4 linked regions of the Saccharomyces cerevisiae S288C genome follow. The main gene of each other region encodes a partner of the protein of the gene in region 4 in a complex. Each region holds a gene or a part of one and is shown on either strand. Other genes may lie near its edges. A codon is read from its position in the direction of its gene.

Region 1 (5,360 bases), on a different chromosome or scaffold from region 4:
ATGGACAATATAAGGAAACTATCTTCTCAGCTGAAGGAAACCGAAAATAAAAGGAAACTAGCTTCAATAGACAAATATGAGAAACCATTGCCATCTCCAGAAGTCACCATGGCTACACAATTTAGAAATTCCACACCCGTCATACGTAATGAGACAAAAGTGGTTGCTAACCCAACATTATCTTTGAGGTCTTCACCCGTCCAGTTACAGAGCAATGTGGATGACTCCGTGTTAAGGCAGAAACCTGATAAACCAAGGCCGATTGTTGGGGAAGAACAACTTAAACCTGATGAAGATTCGAAAAATCCTGATGAAAAAGGTCTAATGGTGCATAAAAGAAATCAATCTCTCAGCTCACCATCAGAATCAAGTTCTTCTAATCCAACGGATTTTAGCCACATCAAAAAGAGACAAAGTATGGAATCTATGACTACATCCGTAAGTTCAATGGCCAATAGTATAGACGACTCACAGAGATTTGCCAAATCATGGAACTCGTCAAATAGGAAAAGAAAATCTATGAGCCATTTGCAAGTACCCTCATCCGCTTCTTCGAGGTCGGATGATGGGGGAAGAACGCCTAACTCTGCGCACAACCTCAATGAAGATGATTATAACACGAGGAGAGATACCAGTACAAGCACAATTTTGTTCAAACCTCCTGTGGCAGTAAGAGGAACGTCTAGGGGGCACACGCATAGACAATCCATGATAATGCAAGATTCAAGTAATCCAATTGAAGATGCCTTGTACGAAATGGAAAGAATCCAAAGTAGTTCTAAACCAGGTACAAAAACAGGAAACATCATGGATGAGAGAGGTGTGGTCAGGGATAGAGGTATTACTGTTACCTTGCCTATTGTCACCAGTGAAGGTTTTCCAGTCATTGAATATGCCAAGGCCATGTATCCATTGATTGGAAATGAGGCACCTGGATTAGCGAATTTCCATAAGGGCGACTATCTGCTAATTACTGAGATTGTTAATAAAGATTGGTATAAAGGTGAAGTTTATGATAATGACCGTATAGATAGAAATCATAGGATAGGATTAATTCCCTATAATTTCATTCAGCTACTGCATCAAGGTCTTTGATCTCGATGTATATCAATTTTACTAGTTTTCTGATAAAAGAAAAAAAGTATAATGTCAGATTTTTGTTAAGTAGAAATAGAAAGATATACGCTGCCGTGGGAGAAGGACACCTCTCCGGATTTGTAACTAAAAATCATAAAATATCACGTCTTTCCTTCATATTTTCAAAAAAAAAAAAAGTTTTCTTTACCATTTTTGACACAATAATCACGATAATTGTTAGGTCAGGCATTCCCTTTCCACTTTTATGTTCATTTGGACGCAATAAGATATACATATTATTTAATGTGCTCTAATGACAGTTCTACTGTGTTTATATCATTAGAGTCACTTGTTACGAATACTACATATTTCCGCGCAGTGGCTAAAAGCAAATTTCAACATTATAAATCTCTAATAGTAAACTGACAATATTGCGGAATTAGAAAAAATGTACCACGCGAAGTTAAGTGTCTTGAACAACTACTATATGCATTGAATATGGCTCCATTTAGGCAGGACAGTATTTTGGTACGTATTTAGTTCATCAATGGATTTTTTAAGTCTTCACGAACAGTTTTTGGTTAATCTTTTATACTAACAACAATTCATAACAGATAATATACCCCAGATCTCAAACTACTCTCGTTCAATTTGGTTTGAATGAAGAAACATTCACTGTACCTGAGCTGGAAATACCAACACAGATTTATCGGACCACGAGACAAGATGGTTCCTACACATATCATTCAACGAACAAGGATAATAAAGCCGAATTAATCAAACCAATCCAAAATGGTGAAATAATAGACATAAGCGCCTTTACACAATTTCTTAGACTAATATTTGTATCTATTTTGTCTGATAGAGCTAATAAAAATCAAGATGCTTTTGAAGCTGAATTATCTAATATTCCTCTTCTACTGATTACGCACCACTCTTGGTCGCAATCGGATCTAGAGATTATTACTCAATATGTCTTCGAAAGTCTTGAGATAAACAATCTAATCCAATTGCCGGCTTCCTTAGCGGCCACTTATTCTATGATTTCGTTGCAGAATTGTTGTATTATTGATGTTGGAACACATCATACAGATATTATTCCTATTGTTGACTATGCACAATTAGACCATCTTGTCTCTTCAATACCAATGGGCGGACAGTCTATTAATGATTCTCTAAAAAAACTACTACCTCAATGGGACGATGATCAGATAGAATCATTGAAAAAATCACCAATTTTTGAGGTGCTCAGTGACGACGCCAAAAAACTATCAAGTTTCGATTTTGGAAACGAAAATGAGGACGAGGATGAAGGAACTTTAAACGTTGCCGAGATTATTACAAGTGGTCGTGATACACGTGAAGTTTTAGAGGAAAGAGAACGTGGTCAAAAAGTCAAAAATGTTAAAAATAGCGACTTGGAATTCAATACTTTTTGGGATGAAAAAGGTAACGAAATTAAAGTTGGTAAGCAAAGATTCCAAGGATGTAATAACCTGATTAAGAATATTTCTAATCGTGTAGGATTGACGTTAGATAACATAGATGATATTAACAAAGCTAAAGCCGTTTGGGAAAATATTATCATCGTCGGTGGCACTACTTCAATTTCAGGTTTTAAAGAAGCTTTACTGGGTCAACTACTGAAAGACCATTTAATTATAGAGCCAGAGGAAGAGAAGTCAAAAAGAGAAGAGGAAGCGAAATCCGTATTACCAGCTGCAACAAAAAAGAAAAGCAAGTTTATGACAAATAGCACCGCATTTGTTCCAACTATAGAATACGTACAGTGTCCTACAGTAATCAAACTGGCTAAATATCCAGATTACTTTCCTGAGTGGAAGAAAAGTGGATATTCAGAGATTATATTCTTGGGTGCCCAAATTGTTTCTAAGCAAATTTTCACTCATCCTAAAGATACATTTTATATCACAAGAGAAAAGTATAATATGAAAGGACCGGCTGCTCTTTGGGACGTGCAATTTTAAGAATACGTGATAGATGCTTCGTGTATCCAAAATCCGTGTGAATATGTGCTGTTTAGTTTTTTCCATCCAATGAGGATGGGAAATATATACATAAACGTTATGTAATATATAGAATTCATGCAAAATTAACAAGGGAAATATCACCTTGGTTGTGTATATGGGACGTTGTTCGACAGAACGGATTGATTTTCACCAGTTCCAATTGATATGATCTTTTCCAAATCAACTTCCTCATTCTCATTTGCACAAGATGACTCGCTTCCGTCTGCTTGAGCGTCCTTTTGTATCCATCTTTTGAACAAGCTTACAAAGAAATTTGCCGTCATGACTTGCTCAACTTGATATAAAACCAAGGGAACCAACAACTTACCCAGGTGTTCTTTTTTATCGCCGTATTGTGAAGTAATTAGTGATACACCCAGTGCTGCAGTTTTAGCCGGGCCACAAAACATAATGCAAATCGCATCTTCCTTTGAATAATAAAAAGGCCTAAAGATATTATACGAATAGCGGTACAATCTTGTAGATTTGCCCTCTATTGGTTCATGAGGGAAAAGCTTGAGGATGAACCATGGCCTTGCACATAAGTATGACAGACCCGTGAAGAATATATAAATTCCCAAATTAAAAAAGCAGAGAAATATGATGCAAACATGAGAAACGCTAGTAAACGCATCCTGATAAAAGGCAGTTGAGAATGAACTAAACATAATCAATAAAAGCATGTAAGATCCAATTTTAATATGGTATTTTTTCAAAAAGCCCAGGTAATAAGCAGTACCCTTCGGAAAGCAATTTTGAATAACCTGACCCACAAACAAGGGTACGAATACAGAGAGACCAACCTGTTTCATAACACGGCCATAAAGCGCACCAATGCCATTTCCAGTGGCAGGGTTGCCGTATGCAAATGGTGCGCGGTTAGTAAACATTTGAACCAATGCAGGTGTAATAAACGCACCCAACAAATTTCCAATGAATACTTCACAAACGCACAAAAGGCTATTTCCACCTGCATTCGTAGTCATGATAACGTTTGAAGCCACGGTTGTTGGACAAGTGGCAGTCAAAATTAGACCGATAAGTACCCAGTCATCTATTTTCGGATCATTAGCAGCCTTTACCGCGCAACAAAATCCATATACTATGGACGAGGTAATAAGGAAACTCAGAACCAGAATAGTGGCATGAGCTCTCCAATTTAACATATTTGCCATTAGTGACCTTGATTTCATTCCCAGGCCACTTTGGAGAAAAATCCAGGCGACGCAGCCGTACCCAATACTATATTGGCCTTTAATTAACCCTCCGTCTCTTGCAAAATTCGGAGCAAATCTTGCAATAACGATTAAAATAGCCAAACAGATGAAAAACCACTGGGATTTCAGAAATTCTGTTACTGAATGTGCCCAAATTTTTCGTATTAGAGAGTACTGAGTCTTCATTTGGCACTAAGTAGGTGTATTAAATGTGTGTCTTCCTTCTTTTTGCAAGTTATGTCAGAGTTGGGATATATCGTAGAAAAGGGTGCGAAGGTGATTCAGGTAGCATAGACGGTTTCAGGCAATAAAAAGCTATAAATCTCTCTTTATATAATTGAAGGTTAAAATTTGCTAGATTTTAAAGTGGTTCGGTTCTTTTTTATGCTTTCTTAGCTTCTGGCTGTTCGTTGGAGCTCAGACTTACGGGTAGACCAATGTCATCGAAATACTGTGGAAGATCAAGCTCGGAAGGAGAGCGAGGCTAAGTTCCGAGCTACTGAAAAAAATGGAAAAAACAAGTGCCTTAATTGAATGACTAGATGGGTGCTTGTTAACGAAGGCGTGCTGCTATTCATGAAGCTGTTGCATTGTACTGTACAGTAATGTTTCGAGCCGGATCATCAAAAAGATTCTTACGAAACACACTAATAGCAATTTCATGGGTTCCGGTACTTCTAACAATCAATAATAATGTGGTCCATATTGCGCAAGTTAAAGGTACCTCTATGCAGCCTACGCTGAACCCGCAAACGGAAACGCTGGCAACAGATTGGGTGCTGCTTTGGAAGTTTGGAGTCAAGAACCCAAGTAATTTATCTAGAGATGACATTATCCTTTTCAAAGCTCCTACAAACCCTCGGAAAGTTTACTGCAAAAGGGTTAAAGGTTTACCGTTTGATACCATTGACACGAAGTTTCCATACCCTAAACCTCAAGTGAACCTGCCCAGGGGACACATATGGGTCGAAGGGGACAATTATTTTCATTCGATTGATAGCAATACTTTTGGCCCCATTTCCAGTGGGTTGGTCAT
Region 2 (5,696 bases), on a different chromosome or scaffold from region 4:
TCTAGATATTTTTGTAAAATTTGAGTCTTTTCGATGCTTGCTTCAGCCATTTTTGATTATATTATATTATATTATGTTTAATTTTTGTTTCGGTTGAACTTCTTCTATAAATGAAATGAAGTTAATTTCTCACAAATATGTATGTGATTCTATAGTTATCTTTGTGTGATGTTCTTACCTAACGAAAACAAAGACAGAACAACCTACGAACCAACCAAGCCTGAGAATTCGATATATAGAATCACTCCCTTATATATTACAAAAAAAGAAATCTACAAACTAAAATAAAAACATGGCAAACAATATGCGTCGGAGTCATCTTTAATTCATTATCAAGCCTACTACTTACACCTGACCGCTTACACTAACAAATGAATTAATTTTTCACTCTTTTTTCATATTACTTTTCTTTTTTTCATCCTACTTTTTCTTTTTTTGTTTGTGTTTCGCTACACAGGACATCAATGCGGCATATCAGCCTACTCTCCTGCCAAAAATAGTGTACTATTTTCGCATATTTGGGGAATAATAATGACCACAAATGGCACTATGATGCGAAAAAAATTTTCGATAAAACACCGTCTGGCATCGTCTGTGCGGACCAACTGCTGTAGAAGACTTTTTTTTTTCTGCCTTCGCGAGCTTATCTTATCTATTAGGGGAGCGCAGTCATCAATTGTAAACAAACGTGCGAAGCGATCCGTAGTCCTATCCGGGTAACACTCATCGTCCGGCCTCCGCCCCCTTTTCCCCGGGAGAACCGTATGCGGGTACTGGGTTTAGGGGATCCTTGTTTTGGTTCTCGCGAGTGTTTTTCCGATTGCGAGATTTTATTTTCCCTTTCGCATCATCCGGACGAGCCAAAAGCGCCATTGTTCCGGCCGCACGTGCAGCGCATGTGTACTTGCGCACTTTTGTTTACTATTGTCCTGACAAACTGATTACCAAATGTCTTTGAACAGGTGGGACAAAGAGAGACAAAAAAGCGGCTATCATGTAGCTGGGACGATATTCCGCCGCCGGGTAGCGCATATTGAAAAATGGCTGTTTACAGTGGGCCTCACTAGCTTAGAGTTCATCTCTATATAACTATTTATACAGTTTTTTTATATTAGAATGGGTTCATCGAGTTATCGCGTTTGTTTATATGTCCCTCACTCAAAGTAGGGGGTGGACTGAATCTTGAAGGAAACCCGCTTACTCCTTACTGATAGCTACTACCGGCGCTGAGAAAAATGGGTCGAGATCTCATCTCCTTCTAGCCGCCTACAATCCCTTTTGGATATTTGCGCCTTACCACTAGTTTGTTGCGTTCGTAGCCTGCGACTGCTTTCTGTCTCTTTTCAGCGTTTCGTAATCTTCCTTAGAGTACCATTTTCCCAAGCTCCATGATGGCAGATTGGCCATTGTAAGGGCGCCCAGCCATCCCTGGATTTTACGGTCCATCATGACTTGGTTGGCAAAAGTTGTCAATTTGTATTGCGGGAACCTGATTGACAGCTCCTTTATTATGCGTTGCTCCATACCTTCGATCAGAGAGGTAGATCCTGTGATGATGACGTTCGTCAACAGTAGCGAGTATACTTGTTCTGGTGATATGTTGCTGCTGCTGGCAGTACTGTTATTATCGCCAACATTGGTGTTTATATGGCTTGTACCCAATCCGTTTGGGTTGGTGGAGGTATTGGCCTTCATTGAATTTATACTAGCGCCGGCCTTCTTGACTGATTTTGCCATTAGCGGTCCCAGTCCGTCCTCTGGTGAGAATTTGTCTGATATCAGTTGAGGTTTGAAGAGATACTCTGCGAATTGGTAGCACTCCTTAAGGTCCAAGGTTAAAGTCTTGTTTAATGGCTTGAATAGAAAATTTTTCTTTTGAACCAACGGATTGTTGGGGCTTCCCGTTAACGCCGTGTACTGAAGTTGCTGATCCATTTGTTTTAACTGCTCCTGTTGCTTAGCGTATATATCTGCTTGCTCTTTGTAATACCTTTCCAACTCAAACAAGTCCTTTTCGCTTACTTGCAACATAGTAGACTTGAATTGCTGAATCCACGTGCTTGCTTCGTACCAAACGTCGGTGGACCTTTTTTGCTCGTCGGCCATGTTTTCCATGTCGTTCTCTTCTTTAATCAGTGGAGCCAACCTTTCGTGTACTTGAAAATCCAAGAAATCACCGCCAAATTTAGATCTCACTACAGCATTCTTCACCACAATACCGTCAATGATGGGAGTAACGTTACAGCCTGACGCGCCGATATCAATCACGAATGCAGAACTCTTGCCCATGGATAGGGCAATTGCCAATGGCTCGATTACAATCTGGAATACTGGTACATTTAATTTGTCGAACGCCAGCTCATAGTAGCGCTCTAATATGGCCATGTCCGGTTTACCATTGGTGGCAGGCATCGTAATCACCAGTGGCAGTTCCTCGGGTGAAACTTTCAATTGGGTGTCGTACAGATATCTCCACTGCATCTCCAATGCGTCCCAATTGTACGGTAACCCTTGGCTATCTACCAATGTATACACCTCGTCACCATTGCGTTTTTCTGCCGCAGCGTCTATCATATTGTAGGTTCCGAATATAAACTCAGCTTCCCCCCCCTCATCTGTTCTTTTAATATAGCTAGAGGGTATAATGCATTGTGGCAATTCAACGTTACTAAATCCAGCCACCGTTCTGTGCGATCCGTTATGTATCACTACGCACTTCCTATTCAATGTCATTCTTGACAGATCCTTTATAATGTAGTAATTCTCGCGCTTTTGCTAATAGCCTACTACTCTGTTCTATCTCTCTTGTTTACCATTTTCCGCTTTGTTTTCTTGTTTGAGGTTTGCTTTATTTTTTCTTTATTTTCTTCGAAACGCGGCCATCATTTTTTTTTTTCAGGATCACTCAAGGTGAACAAGTCTAAGTATTGAAAGGTGTGAAGACTTGCCGATGATATACTTATATGAACGCCGTGATGCGTACGTCTTTGATGGAAATATTGTATATATCTCTTTCTTTCCTTATAATCACTGTTCTCTCTTGTGTAATAAGTAAATCTATTCGTTTCCGTGTAAGGCGATAATTTTTTTGTTTGAAATTTTTTATCAAGTTTTTTTTTTTCTTCAATTCTAACCAGCTCGAAGATGACTTATGGCCTTGATCGACCGGGCTTTTAAATGAGTCTTACGGCCCAATGTGTTACTTTAGAATAGTTCCTTTCTGCTCGTCTCTTGCTTAATGCTTAGTAGATCACTAAATAAAGTAGTCACATCTATAAAGTCGTCTTCGATAATCAGGATGTCATCCGCTACCGCTGCTGCTACTTCTGCTCCTACTGCTAATGCTGCTAATGCTCTAAAAGCTTCAAAGGCTCCAAAGAAAGGTAAACTACAAGTGTCTTTGAAAACACCTAAGGGTACGAAGGATTGGGCTGATAGTGATATGGTTATCAGAGAAGCCATTTTTAGCACTTTATCTGGCCTATTCAAGAAGCATGGTGGTGTCACTATCGACACACCTGTTTTCGAGTTAAGAGAAATTTTAGCAGGCAAGTATGGTGAGGACTCCAAACTGATCTACAACTTGGAGGACCAGGGTGGTGAATTATGTTCTTTACGTTACGATTTGACCGTTCCTTTTGCCAGGTACGTTGCCATGAACAATATTCAGAGTATCAAGAGGTATCACATTGCAAAAGTCTACAGAAGAGACCAACCAGCCATGACTAAGGGTCGTATGAGAGAATTTTACCAGTGTGATTTTGACGTTGCAGGCACATTCGAATCTATGGTTCCTGATTCCGAATGTTTGTCCATTTTAGTGGAAGGTTTGACCAGTTTGGGAATCAAAGATTTCAAAATCAAATTGAATCACAGGAAGATTCTTGATGGGATCTTCCAAATCGCTGGTGTTAAAGATGAGGATGTGAGGAAAATCTCTTCTGCTGTCGATAAGTTGGACAAATCTCCATGGGAAGCAGTCAAGAAGGAAATGACCGAAGAAAAAGGTCAATCCGAAGAAACTGCTGATAAAATCGGTGAGTATGTTAAATTAAATGGTTCTTTGAAGGAAATTCACGCTGTTCTATCCGCAGATGCCAACATTACTTCAAACGAAAAGGCTAAACAAGGTTTGGATGATATTGCTACTTTGATGAAGTATACCGAAGCATTTGACATTGACTCATTCATCTCTTTTGATCTTTCTCTTGCAAGAGGTTTGGATTACTATACAGGTTTGATCTATGAAGTTGTTACTTCTGCATCTGCTCCACCAGAGAATGCTTCAGAATTGAAGAAGAAGGCCAAATCTGCAGAAGACGCGTCAGAATTCGTTGGTGTCGGCTCTATTGCAGCCGGTGGTCGATATGATAATTTGGTCAACATGTTCTCTGAAGCTTCCGGCAAAAAATCTACTCAAATTCCATGTGTTGGTATTTCATTTGGTGTTGAAAGAATATTTTCTTTGATCAAACAAAGAATTAATTCCTCTACAACTATAAAGCCAACGGCTACACAGGTGTTCGTTATGGCTTTTGGTGGTGGTAAGGACTGGACTGGTTATTTACCCGAAAGAATGAAGGTTACTAAGCAATTATGGGATGCTGGCATTGAAGCTGAATATGTCTATAAGGCCAAGGCTAATCCTAGGAAGCAATTCGATGCTGCTGAAAAAGCGGGTTGTCACATTGCCGTAATCCTCGGTAAGGAGGAGTACTTAGAAGGTAAATTACGTGTCAAAAGATTGGGCCAAGAATTTGCCGATGATGATGGTGAATTGGTTAGTGCGGCTGACATTGTTCCTATTGTTCAAGAAAAGTTATCACAAATTCATGAAGATGGTCTAAATGAGGTCACTCGTTTAATTAAAGGATTATAAACTTGATAGCTCATGTATTTACAAACCTTCGTAAAACTAGACATGTATAATGAAAAATAAATCGATTCAAATTAATTTATAAAGCATATAGAACTAAAAAAAAATAAGTATAGAAGGAAGTTGCTCATTACCCTGTATGAATTAGTGTATGTATTTAAAAACCAAGGGCACCTTTCATTACATCTTTTCCAGTCTGCTCAACAGCCTCGTTCATTGTTTCTCCCATGGCGGTAGCATAGTCGTTGAATCTATCTTCAACGGCGTCCCATCTAGTTTCTACAGCTCGAGAAACATTTCTTAGTACCCCGTAACTACTGTTCCTGCCCTTACGGGTGGGCTTGGTATACTGGTGTTCCGGATGGTTCGCATTATTATCGTCTGAAGAACGCTCCGAGAAACTTCCCTCAGCAATGATGCTCTCTTTGTATTTGGATGCAGGTCTATTCACGCCACCCAATAATTCATTTAATTGAGCGGGAGTACAATATACAGTGCCTCTTGCCCACTGTAATGAATTTACTTGTGGCCTATAGGGAATCCTGATTCCATTGATGTACAGTGTGTCAGAAACTGGCGCTAGCGTATCCTGTTCCTTGACAGTAGAAAATAGTGACGCCTGAAATTCACTCACTCGAATCGCTATATCACCATTTCTTAAAACAGATGATTCTGTAATGTATTTTGCGGCAATTGGAAATGGAATATGTTCAGACATTTGTTCTTTGAAATCTGGAATAGTAAAAACTCTTAGATGGCCATTGATTTCTAATGTAATTATTACGGTTAGGTTCTTCCTATCATTATTTTTCTCAACGGT
Region 3 (6,745 bases), on a different chromosome or scaffold from region 4:
GGTAGTCTTTTTTGCTGGAACGGTTCAGCGGAAAAGACGCATCGCTCTTTTTGCTTCTAGAAGAAATGCCAGCAAAAGAATCTCTTGACAGTGACTGACAGCAAAAATGTCTTTTTCTAACTAGTAACAAGGCTAAGATATCAGCCTGAAATAAAGGGTGGTGAAGTAATAATTAAATCATCCGTATAAACCTATACACATATATGAGGAAAAATAATACAAAAGTGTTTTAAATACAGATACATACATGAACATATGCACGTATAGCGCCCAAATGTCGGTAATGGGATCGGCTTACTAATTATAAAATGCATCATAGAAATCGTTGAAGTTTGCCGTAGTAATACCCAGATTATCAGATTCCAAATCCTTGTCAATAATTATACTCCTTTGGACAACTTCTCTTTCCATTAAAAAATCTGAAATCTCCTTAAATTTTAAATAGATTCTGTTCAGTTCACTAACGGGGAATTTCAAGAGAACATTTTTGTTCTTCGCCGACTGACTATAATCTGTAACATTATTGTTATCAGAGTTTCTCGCAAAATTTTGTTTTTTCTTGCTAAATCTCAGCATATATTTAATCAGATTCAAAACCTTGTTGAAACCTTTAATAGATTTGAAACTTCCGTTGCTATTCATTTCATCTCGTAAAAAGGATACGATAATTTCTATTTTTTTTAAAATTTCCAAAATCTTGTCATGAATCAATAGCAATTGAACATTAATCTCCTCATTTGAAAGATTTTTGTAAAATTCGTCATATAATATTACTTCACAACGTTGGAAAATAGCAAATGTGATTGCTATAAAATTCTGTAAGATTTCAATAAAATGATTTGCGAATAAAAATTCTTTACCATTAGAATGAAAGCGATTATTGCCGCTTGAAAATGACTTTATCGACTTTATGGGGAAGATAAAATTAAATGTTATTGAGTAAAAAATGTGCATATTAGAAATAATTTTCATCAGATCCTTTGCACATCTTTCAGAGTTCGAGGTCTTATTGTTGTTAGAAGAATGTTGAACTGCCATGGACAAAGAGGATTCGTTTTGAACAAAAAGGAAAAAATTTGTATAAACAATGGTATTGATAAAATTTAAAGTGTCTTTCCATTCTTTTCTGACTTCGTTGTCATGAAAATATAAGTCTACTGTATTACTCACGCCCATAGTCAAGGTTTCTAACAGACTTTCAATTTTGGTTAAATTTACTGGCAAGTAGAAAGGAACACCTTGCAGAATATTTATCAATTTTGCTTGCGTTTCCAGTAATTTTAAATCGTTAGCAATTAAAGGAATGTCGTTCGTATCAATAGAGGCAGGTATCGGAGATAGGTTTTCAGCAGCGGGTACCATGAATAGCTTTTTTTTTTTTTTTTATTCGAAATCTGGGGATTCTATACAGAGTTGTAAGTTAGGCAAACTAGAATTTGGTAATAATATTTTATTCTTGGGGCGACATATGGAGATACTTTATTTCCTTTTCTTAATTATTAACGTATACCTATAAATTAACAAAGTATCTAAACAAAATACATAAGTGTACTCAAACTGAGTAGAATCGTCGATTAAACTTCCTTCTCCTTTTAAAAATTAAAAACAGCAAATAGTTAGATGAATATATTAAAGACTATTCGTTTCATTTCCCAGAGCAGCATGACTTCTTGGTTTCTTCAGACTTGTTACCGCAGGGGCATTTGTCGTCGCTGTTACACCCCGTTGGGCAGCTACATGATTTTTGGCATTGTTCATTATTTTTGCAGCTACCACATTGGCATTGGCACTCATGACCTTCATTTTGGAAGTTAATTAATTCGCTGAACATTTTATGTGATGATTGATTGATTGATTGTACAGTTTGTTTTTCTTAATATCTATTTCGATGACTTCTATATGATATTGCACTAACAAGAAGATATTATAATGCAATTGATACAAGACAAGGAGTTATTTGCTTCTCTTTTATATGATTCTGACAATCCATATTGCGTTGGTAGTCTTTTTTGCTGGAACGGTTCAGCGGAAAAGACGCATCGCTCTTTTTGCTTCTAGAAGAAATGCCAGCAAAAGAATCTCTTGACAGTGACTGACAGCAAAAATGTCTTTTTCTAACTAGTAACAAGGCTAAGATATCAGCCTGAAATAAAGGGTGGTGAAGTAATAATTAAATCATCCGTATAAACCTATACACATATATGAGGAAAAATAATACAAAAGTGTTTTAAATACAGATACATACATGAACATATGCACGTATAGCGCCCAAATGTCGGTAATGGGATCGGCTTACTAATTATAAAATGCATCATAGAAATCGTTGAAGTTTGCCGTAGTAATACCCAGATTATCAGATTCCAAATCCTTGTCAATAATTATACTCCTTTGGACAACTTCTCTTTCCATTAAAAAATCTGAAATCTCCTTAAATTTTAAATAGATTCTGTTCAGTTCACTAACGGGGAATTTCAAGAGAACATTTTTGTTCTTCGCCGACTGACTATAATCTGTAACATTATTGTTATCAGAGTTTCTCGCAAAATTTTGTTTTTTCTTGCTAAATCTCAGCATATATTTAATCAGATTCAAAACCTTGTTGAAACCTTTAATAGATTTGAAACTTCCGTTGCTATTCATTTCATCTCGTAAAAAGGATACGATAATTTCTATTTTTTTTAAAATTTCCAAAATCTTGTCATGAATCAATAGCAATTGAACATTAATCTCCTCATTTGAAAGATTTTTGTAAAATTCGTCATATAATATTACTTCACAACGTTGGAAAATAGCAAATGTGATTGCTATAAAATTCTGTAAGATTTCAATAAAATGATTTGCGAATAAAAATTCTTTACCATTAGAATGAAAGCGATTATTGCCGCTTGAAAATGACTTTATCGACTTTATGGGGAAGATAAAATTAAATGTTATTGAGTAAAAAATGTGCATATTAGAAATAATTTTCATCAGATCCTTTGCACATCTTTCAGAGTTCGAGGTCTTATTGTTGTTAGAAGAATGTTGAACTGCCATGGACAAAGAGGATTCGTTTTGAACAAAAAGGAAAAAATTTGTATAAACAATGGTATTGATAAAATTTAAAGTGTCTTTCCATTCTTTTCTGACTTCGTTGTCATGAAAATATAAGTCTACTGTATTACTCACGCCCATAGTCAAGGTTTCTAACAGACTTTCAATTTTGGTTAAATTTACTGGCAAGTAGAAAGGAACACCTTGCAGAATATTTATCAATTTTGCTTGCGTTTCCAGTAATTTTAAATCGTTAGCAATTAAAGGAATGTCGTTCGTATCAATAGAGGCAGGTATCGGAGATAGGTTTTCAGCAGCGGGTACCATGAATGAAGACTGACCTAGAAGCGAATGTCTTGAGTAATACATTTTTTTCAAAAAATGGAATAACTTGAAATCTTTTATCTGGAAGCTTAACAGACAGCTCAAATCTTCGTCTAAACTTGATTTATGATCATCATGCATGTACAGAGATTCATAAAATTTTGTGATGGCAATAAATTTGATTGTCTCTTGGTCATAATATTCCAGGTTTATCAATGTGATTTGGCTTCGAATCAACCTCAAATTATTCATTAATGCCGAAACATGGTTATTAATAGCCTGCTTATTGAATAGGGTCATTGAATCGTTTAACAACAGTAGAAGCACAGTTAATTCGCCTAGTTTGGTCAGTTGAGATAAAGGAAGATCGACCGTTGAGAATGAAGGACAGGTATCACCATTTGGAAAAGAGTTATGAACAAATTCTAGTAAGAGGGTTTTGTCAAAGATTGGCAAAAATTCTTCAATATTCAGATTGTTAAGGGATTCAGAGTTTAGTGTCTCAATAATTATTGCTTTTGGTGGGAAGTTAACTTTGCAAACTTCCATATATTGTTGGTGATTTTTATTGTTAGGAGGACTTACTTTGAACTGATTAATATGGCAGATATCGTGCAAAATATTATAGAACTTGAAAAGATAATGATCTCTAAAAATGATGAAGTTTTTAGTGAAAAGGTAGTTGGGGGTATCCTTCAACGGTTTCACTTGGACTAAACTTTGCACATCTGTTATTGTGAGCGCTGTAAAGTATTTTTGTGAGGACTGAGAAGTCCTTGAAGTCTGATGATCAAATCCGGCTCTTTTACCGTCAACCTTGCCTTTCTTAGAATTCTCACCTGTTTTGTTAATTTTGTTTGCCGTGGTATTGTCGGCATTTAAATTCGATTTTTCTTTCAAACTTTTCAGTTGCAAGCTTTGTAAATCAAGCAATTTGTTTTTTAAAAAGTCTATCTCCTTGATTAATACTTCCTCTTGAGTAAACGGAGAAGTCATTAGATCGAAAACGGCCGAGTCTTGATTGATACCAACATTAAAAGAGTATGGGTTATCTGTATAGTCAAAACTTTGAGCGTTAACCAGTTGTAATCGTGTGTTATATTCTCTAATCTGATCCATGGAGGGCACATCTGGACTATCGCTTCTCACAATAGTGTTTCCATGAACATTACTACTAACGGTACTACTATTCTGACGAGGAGCAGTATTATTATTGGTGTTATTATTCTGGTAGCTAGCGGCCTTGGTCCACTGCATCGCAGTATCCACAGAGGGGTTGAACGAGAAGTTGAATGCCTCTATCGACGTTTGCATAATCGGATACTGCGTTTGAATCATTACGTTTTTCTGATTTACACCGTTTCCCTGACTAAAATGGTTGGAACCTTGGCCATTGCCGTGCGTGGACATCCCGGACGCAGAGGGCACAGCGACCATCTTACCAGGTCCATCTGGATAAAAACAGTCCGGCTTGTTATACTTGACGCAATTCCCACATATCGGTTTTGCCCTGTCGCACCCGATCTTTCTCTTCCTGCATTGGGTGCAAGCAGGCGGCTTCCTCACTTTTCTCACTTGCATGTCCATCATGATTAAAAACAAACGGCAAAGCTACGCACTAGTCACAGCAGACAACGACAATGCTCCTCTCATAAATTGCTAAGATACATTAAAAACAACAACTCTCTTCTTGTTCTTCCTCTCTTTGCATCATTCCTGCAAAATATCACACTACACGAGCTAGGATGTATAACCATCCTTAGTAGGACGCCAAGGTTATATTCAAAATGATATGATTTCCCCAATTAATACTTGCTGTTGCATTTTGAATCGGATGTAACTGGGACTAATGCTGCGCTAACCAGACGTACGTTCCGGTGGTCACAGTGCGGAACTGTTCCCACGTTCTCTAGTTAATTTACCTTTAACTATACATACTGAAATTGATATCTATGTATATAGTATGAAATATTGCATATACTCAAGAAGAGAGCTCAGGCGTCCACTCACCGCATTTTGCGATCTTGACCGCCTCGAGAGGTTTGTCATTCGCATCTCTGGACACGTGCTGTATGTAGTTCACCACATCCATGCCGTCCACAACCTGTCCAAATACCACATGCTTTCCATCGAGCCACGACGCTTCTTCCGTAGTGGTGATGAAGAACTGAGATCCATTGGTATCTTTACCACGATTAGCCATCGATAGTCTGCCCTTGCGATCATGCTTCAAAGTAAAGTTTTCGTCAGGGAAAGTATCTCCATAGATGGATTTGCCACCAACGCCAGTGCCGTCTGTGAAGTCCCCTCCCTGTACCATGAAGTTGGGAATCACCCTATGGAAAGTGGACCCGATGAACCCCTTTTTGGAATTAGTGGTGGTGCTTAACTTGTAGAAGTTCTTCGCCGTCTTAGGACATACCTTTCCGTACAACCCAATAACGATTCTGCCAACTTTCTCTTCACCATGTTCAATATCGAAAAACACCTTTTGTGTAATTACTTCGTCGTCCTGATCAATCAACTCACCCACATCAGATGCAATAACATTAACGCTAAGGAATAATAACAACCAACACCACAAGCCACTGAATTTCATTTTGTTTTCCCTTCGTGTCTTTTTCCTCTCATTTCTTTCCTTTTGGGGGAACTTCTTATGATGGGTACATCGATTTTTGAAGAAAACTGAAAAGTTGATTTCGCGGGGTTTTATAATATAGTACAAAGATATATGCAATTGCCATGGCAGTTCTCATATGTAGTTTGGGGTGGATCGAATGCTTGTGACCATTAATTTGTCCAACATCTCTGTAGTTATACCCATGTTACCGTTGCCAGTACGACCGGTACCGTTGTCTATAGTTTGTCCTCCTGTACCCATAGTGTTGACTGTCATGTTGACATTTGTGGTTGAGGGAACAGTCGCCATATTGGCACCGCCGGTAGGTCGTACACTGCTCTTGTTACTGCCCCCTCCAGCGTTGTTCCCGTTGGTGGCAGCCGTTGCAGTCGTGCTAGTGTCCGTAGGTACTTTATAGTGTACTCCTTGGGAAGGTTGAAACTCAATCAAGTCATACAAGCTCTCCAATGTGCTATTTAGATGGTAGCTCGTGGACATCAGCCTACTTTGCACAATTTTAAAAATTGTTGGCGATTGGTAAATGTTTGCACCAATTATGTAGTAGTCTTGCAATGGAATAATCTCTGGTCCCTTAGCGCTTCCCACACCAGAATTGTTTGTTCGTCTTTGCTTCCTGATAACCCAGAAGTCAGGCTCTCTTACGCTGCTCAATACGTATTCAGTACCATCTAACTTCATTAATTCCTCCTCCAGTTGCATATACATAGGATACTTGAAAAGGATTTGTCTTCTTGCCGGATCCACATA
Region 4 (2,610 bases):
GAACAGCCACTTTGTAAAATGGAGATTGTAAATTAATCGCAGGTTGAGAATGCTGAATATTTAAGTTCGAGATGGTAGAACGAACTTTTGTTTGATGGGTTTTTTTCAAGATTTGATATTTATCATCATTAGATAAATTGAATTTTTGTTGCAAAATAGTTTCGTTGAGGGGCAATATCAAGTTACTACTATCCAGTTGTTGCTTTTGCTGCGCTAAATTATTTGTTTTCTCAATCATCAGCAACAGTTTTTCGTCATTCATATTTAATTCAGCATGTTTAGACTCTTTCAATTTTGCATCAATGATCATGTCTTCATCCCACTGCCAATCTTCAGCAACATCCTCAATCAAGCTCTTCAATTTATAACCGCCGGAGAACTTTAAGTTGGGTGTCATAGACGAATCCGCCAAGGTTGCTGTTGATGAAGTACCTTGGTTGATGATTTTTTCTTGGTCCCAATCATCAGTGGCAATAAGCAAGTCTTCCGATATGGTCTTTTCATCATGAATAATCTTTCTTTTTTTTTGTTGCTCTTTGATAGGGAAAAGTTCATCAATGGAAACATGAATTAAACCTCTTCGGGATGCAGAAGAGTTACTTTGAAGTAAATTGTTTTTCCCTTGATAAATCGGAGCGACGTAAGATATTGTCCTTGAGTTGAATAGCCTCTTATCATCCTGTTGAACCTTGAATTTCAAATTTAAAGGCATAAACGGTTTCTTTACCCTAGATATTTCACTGTGCCAATGATAAGGAACAGATCTTCTATAAATCAGCTTGTTCCATTTTAAAATTTTACCCTTTTCAAAATCAGGAAAGTATTTTTTTAGAAGATACTTCTCATGGTTTATCAAGTCTAATTTGGTGGCTTTCTTATGCTTGCCATCTGACATATCTGGTTCCATGATAAATCCACCATTTATCGACATATCATTTCCATTAACGCCACCAATGGAAAGTTGAGAATGCCCAATTTCATTTGCGCCACTACCATCAAGAACTCCAGTTTCAGTGGCGAGATGAATTTCATTTGCATCCATTCCCATAAACAAAGCATTGCTAGTTGCGGGAGTACCCCCATCATCCTCCAAAATAAACTGTTGAGACAAATCACCATTAATTTCAGGCAGTTGCATATTCAAACTATTTGAGTCGATACCGAGTACGGCACCGTTCTCGTTTACATCATCATACGCGCCCATAGTCATCATAGCTGGATGCAAATTAGCATCAGATTCTTCTGGCAAATCGTCATCGTCATCAGCAAGTTCATCTTCATCTTCAAAATCTACAGCATCCGGCAAATGCTCCGTATAGTCCTTTGAATTGGCACCTTCATCCCCGCCAATGTATGACCCGATTTCTAAAGAGCCAAACTCTCCGCCAAAAATAGCTTCATATGCTTCATCTTCGTTGGCCAAGTTGGTCTTGCCGGATCCCTGCTGCTTTACCATATCGCCTTATACTCCTGTTGTACTTCTTTTTCTCTCTGTGTTTAAAATGCTATTTATTCTCTTAAAAGCACATTTGAAAACCATCGCCGCGAAATGAAATTATCGACTAGTTTATTAATGAACAAGGCGATAAAACCTAATGTTGGAAAGAAAGAGCTACGTCAGCAAGAGATAGAGAAAATGGACCCACAGACGCTCATTACTAAGGCCAATAAGGTTTCTTACTATGGCAACCCTACGAGTAAGGAATCATGGAGGTATGATTGGTACCAACCATCTAAGGTGAGCTCCAATGTGCAGCAACCACAACAACAGCTAGGGGACATGGAGAATAACTTGGAGAAATATCCATTCAGGTATAAAACATGGTTGAGGAACCAGGAAGATGAGAAAAATCTACAGAGGGAGAGCTGTGAGGATATATTAGATTTGAAAGAATTTGATAGAAGAATACTGAAAAAGTCGTTGATGACATCGCACACTAAGGGTGATACAAGTAAGGCCACCGGTGCTCCTTCTGCTAATCAAGGAGATGAAGCTCTTAGTGTGGATGATATAAGAGGCGCTGTCGGTAATAGTGAAGCCATTCCTGGGTTATCTGCGGGAGTGAACAATGATAATACAAAGGAGAGTAAAGATGTGAAAATGAATTAAAAGGAAAAGTATTATGCATATATATATATATATATATATATATATATTTATATATTTATACACATAGAATTATTTTACAGTAAAGGATGCTACACCACCCCGGGCTAACTTTATGGCTTCTACTATTTCAGGTTCCCTTTCGCGTCTTTTATCTAATCTTTCCTTTTTGTCTTGAATAAACTCTAACTCAGTTGAAAGATTGTTCCATGGTCTTGTGTCGCCTGTACCCGACATGATCAAAATCATAGTACCTGGTGTAGCATTCTCGTATAATTGTGTTAGATGTTGCCCTATATCATGAAGAACCATGGACGCATCGAACGAAGGAGTTTCCTTCCGTGGCTTTTTATTATAGTTGCGTGACCTCTCTAAGTTCTTGATTCTCCCCACAATAAGTTTGACATCTTTATTTAGATTCTCGTGAATATGGGTCCATGTCTCATCATCTTCGACGCAACGGATTAACTGGCCCTTAGAATCGTCCTCAGTATGATTTTTAA

The links.
Region 1: the proteins of RTT102 (region 4) and ARP9 are in contact, whole or in part, in a crystal structure (PDB 5TGC), measured with the Saccharomyces cerevisiae proteins. Residues at the interface, in NP_011791.4 of Saccharomyces cerevisiae: Met1 (codon at 1,637), Pro3 (codon at 1,643), Gln4 (codon at 1,646), Leu6 (codon at 1,652), Ile7 (codon at 1,655), Thr8 (codon at 1,658), Lys9 (codon at 1,661), Ala10 (codon at 1,664), Asn11 (codon at 1,667), Lys12 (codon at 1,670), Val13 (codon at 1,673), Tyr15 (codon at 1,679), Gly17 (codon at 1,685), Pro19 (codon at 1,691), Ser21 (codon at 1,697), Lys22 (codon at 1,700), Glu23 (codon at 1,703), Ser24 (codon at 1,706), Trp25 (codon at 1,709), Arg26 (codon at 1,712), Trp63 (codon at 1,823), Arg65 (codon at 1,829), Ser77 (codon at 1,865), Cys78 (codon at 1,868), Glu79 (codon at 1,871), Asp80 (codon at 1,874), Ile81 (codon at 1,877), Leu82 (codon at 1,880), Leu84 (codon at 1,886), Phe87 (codon at 1,895); in NP_013747.1 of Saccharomyces cerevisiae: Ala2 (codon at 1,579), Pro3 (codon at 1,582), Leu20 (codon at 1,719), Val32 (codon at 1,755), Pro33 (codon at 1,758), Glu34 (codon at 1,761), Leu35 (codon at 1,764), Glu36 (codon at 1,767), Ile37 (codon at 1,770), Pro38 (codon at 1,773), Tyr51 (codon at 1,812), Thr52 (codon at 1,815), Tyr53 (codon at 1,818), His54 (codon at 1,821), Ser55 (codon at 1,824), Gln81 (codon at 1,902), Arg84 (codon at 1,911), Leu85 (codon at 1,914), Phe87 (codon at 1,920), Val88 (codon at 1,923), Ser89 (codon at 1,926), Ile90 (codon at 1,929), Leu91 (codon at 1,932), Ser92 (codon at 1,935), Asp93 (codon at 1,938), Ala95 (codon at 1,944), Phe102 (codon at 1,965), Leu106 (codon at 1,977), Ser107 (codon at 1,980), Asn108 (codon at 1,983).
Region 2: the proteins of RTT102 (region 4) and ARP7 are in contact, whole or in part, in a crystal structure (PDB 4I6M), measured with the Saccharomyces cerevisiae proteins. Residues at the interface, in NP_011791.4 of Saccharomyces cerevisiae: Tyr27 (codon at 1,715), Trp29 (codon at 1,721), Pro32 (codon at 1,730), Tyr56 (codon at 1,802), Pro57 (codon at 1,805), Phe58 (codon at 1,808), Arg59 (codon at 1,811), Tyr60 (codon at 1,814), Lys61 (codon at 1,817), Thr62 (codon at 1,820), Trp63 (codon at 1,823), Leu64 (codon at 1,826); in NP_015359.1 of Saccharomyces cerevisiae: Asn4 (codon at 2,724), Arg5 (codon at 2,721), Glu100 (codon at 2,436), Glu101 (codon at 2,433), Leu102 (codon at 2,430), Pro103 (codon at 2,427), Pro134 (codon at 2,334), Val135 (codon at 2,331), Trp449 (codon at 1,389), Ser450 (codon at 1,386), Trp454 (codon at 1,374), Ser456 (codon at 1,368), Glu458 (codon at 1,362).
Region 3: RTT102 (region 4) and RSC30 share a complex: the UniProt entries of both Saccharomyces cerevisiae proteins name them as parts of the two forms of the RSC complex.

What each region holds. Positions count from the first base shown.
Region 1 is NC_001145.3:336,213-341,572, forward strand, and holds ARP9 (Arp9p), read left to right. Parts: upstream 1-1,575; coding exon 1,576-1,605; intron 1,606-1,691; coding exon 1,692-3,065; downstream 3,066-5,360. Other genes in the region: formin-binding protein HOF1, read left to right, coding at 1-1,095; YMR030W-A (uncharacterized protein), read left to right, coding at 1,101-1,391; RCH1 (Rch1p), read right to left, coding at 3,206-4,510; IMP2 (endopeptidase catalytic subunit), read left to right, coding at 4,930-5,360.
Region 2 is NC_001148.4:636,562-642,257, reverse strand, and holds ARP7 (Arp7p), read right to left. Parts: upstream 2,734-5,696; coding exon 1,300-2,733; downstream 1-1,299. Other genes in the region: GLN1 (glutamate--ammonia ligase), read right to left, coding at 1-50; HTS1 (histidine--tRNA ligase), read left to right, coding at 3,239-4,879; Rab GTPase-binding protein SRO7, read right to left, coding at 5,034-5,696. UniProt on the Saccharomyces cerevisiae protein: Component of the chromatin structure remodeling complex (RSC), which is involved in transcription regulation and nucleosome positioning. RSC is responsible for the transfer of a histone octamer from a nucleosome core particle to naked DNA.
Region 3 is NC_001140.6:212,888-219,632, forward strand, and holds RSC30 (Rsc30p), read right to left. Parts: upstream 4,948-6,745; coding exon 2,296-4,947; downstream 1-2,295. Other genes in the region: YHR054C (uncharacterized protein), read right to left, coding at 298-1,362; YHR054C-B (uncharacterized protein), read right to left, coding at 1,630-1,803; metallothionein CUP1-2, read right to left, coding at 1,646-1,831; peptidylprolyl isomerase CPR2, read right to left, coding at 5,339-5,956; mediator complex subunit MED6, read right to left, coding at 6,110-6,745. UniProt on the Saccharomyces cerevisiae protein: Component of the chromatin structure-remodeling complex (RSC), which is involved in transcription regulation and nucleosome positioning. RSC is responsible for the transfer of a histone octamer from a nucleosome core particle to naked DNA.
Region 4 is NC_001139.9:1,041,640-1,044,249, forward strand, and holds RTT102 (Rtt102p), read left to right. Parts: upstream 1-1,636; coding exon 1,637-2,110; downstream 2,111-2,610. Other genes in the region: TAF1 (histone acetyltransferase), read right to left, coding at 1-1,456; RNH70 (Rnh70p), read right to left, coding at 2,180-2,610. UniProt on the Saccharomyces cerevisiae protein: Probable component of the chromatin structure-remodeling complex (RSC) which is involved in transcription regulation and nucleosome positioning. RSC is responsible for the transfer of a histone octamer from a nucleosome core particle to naked DNA.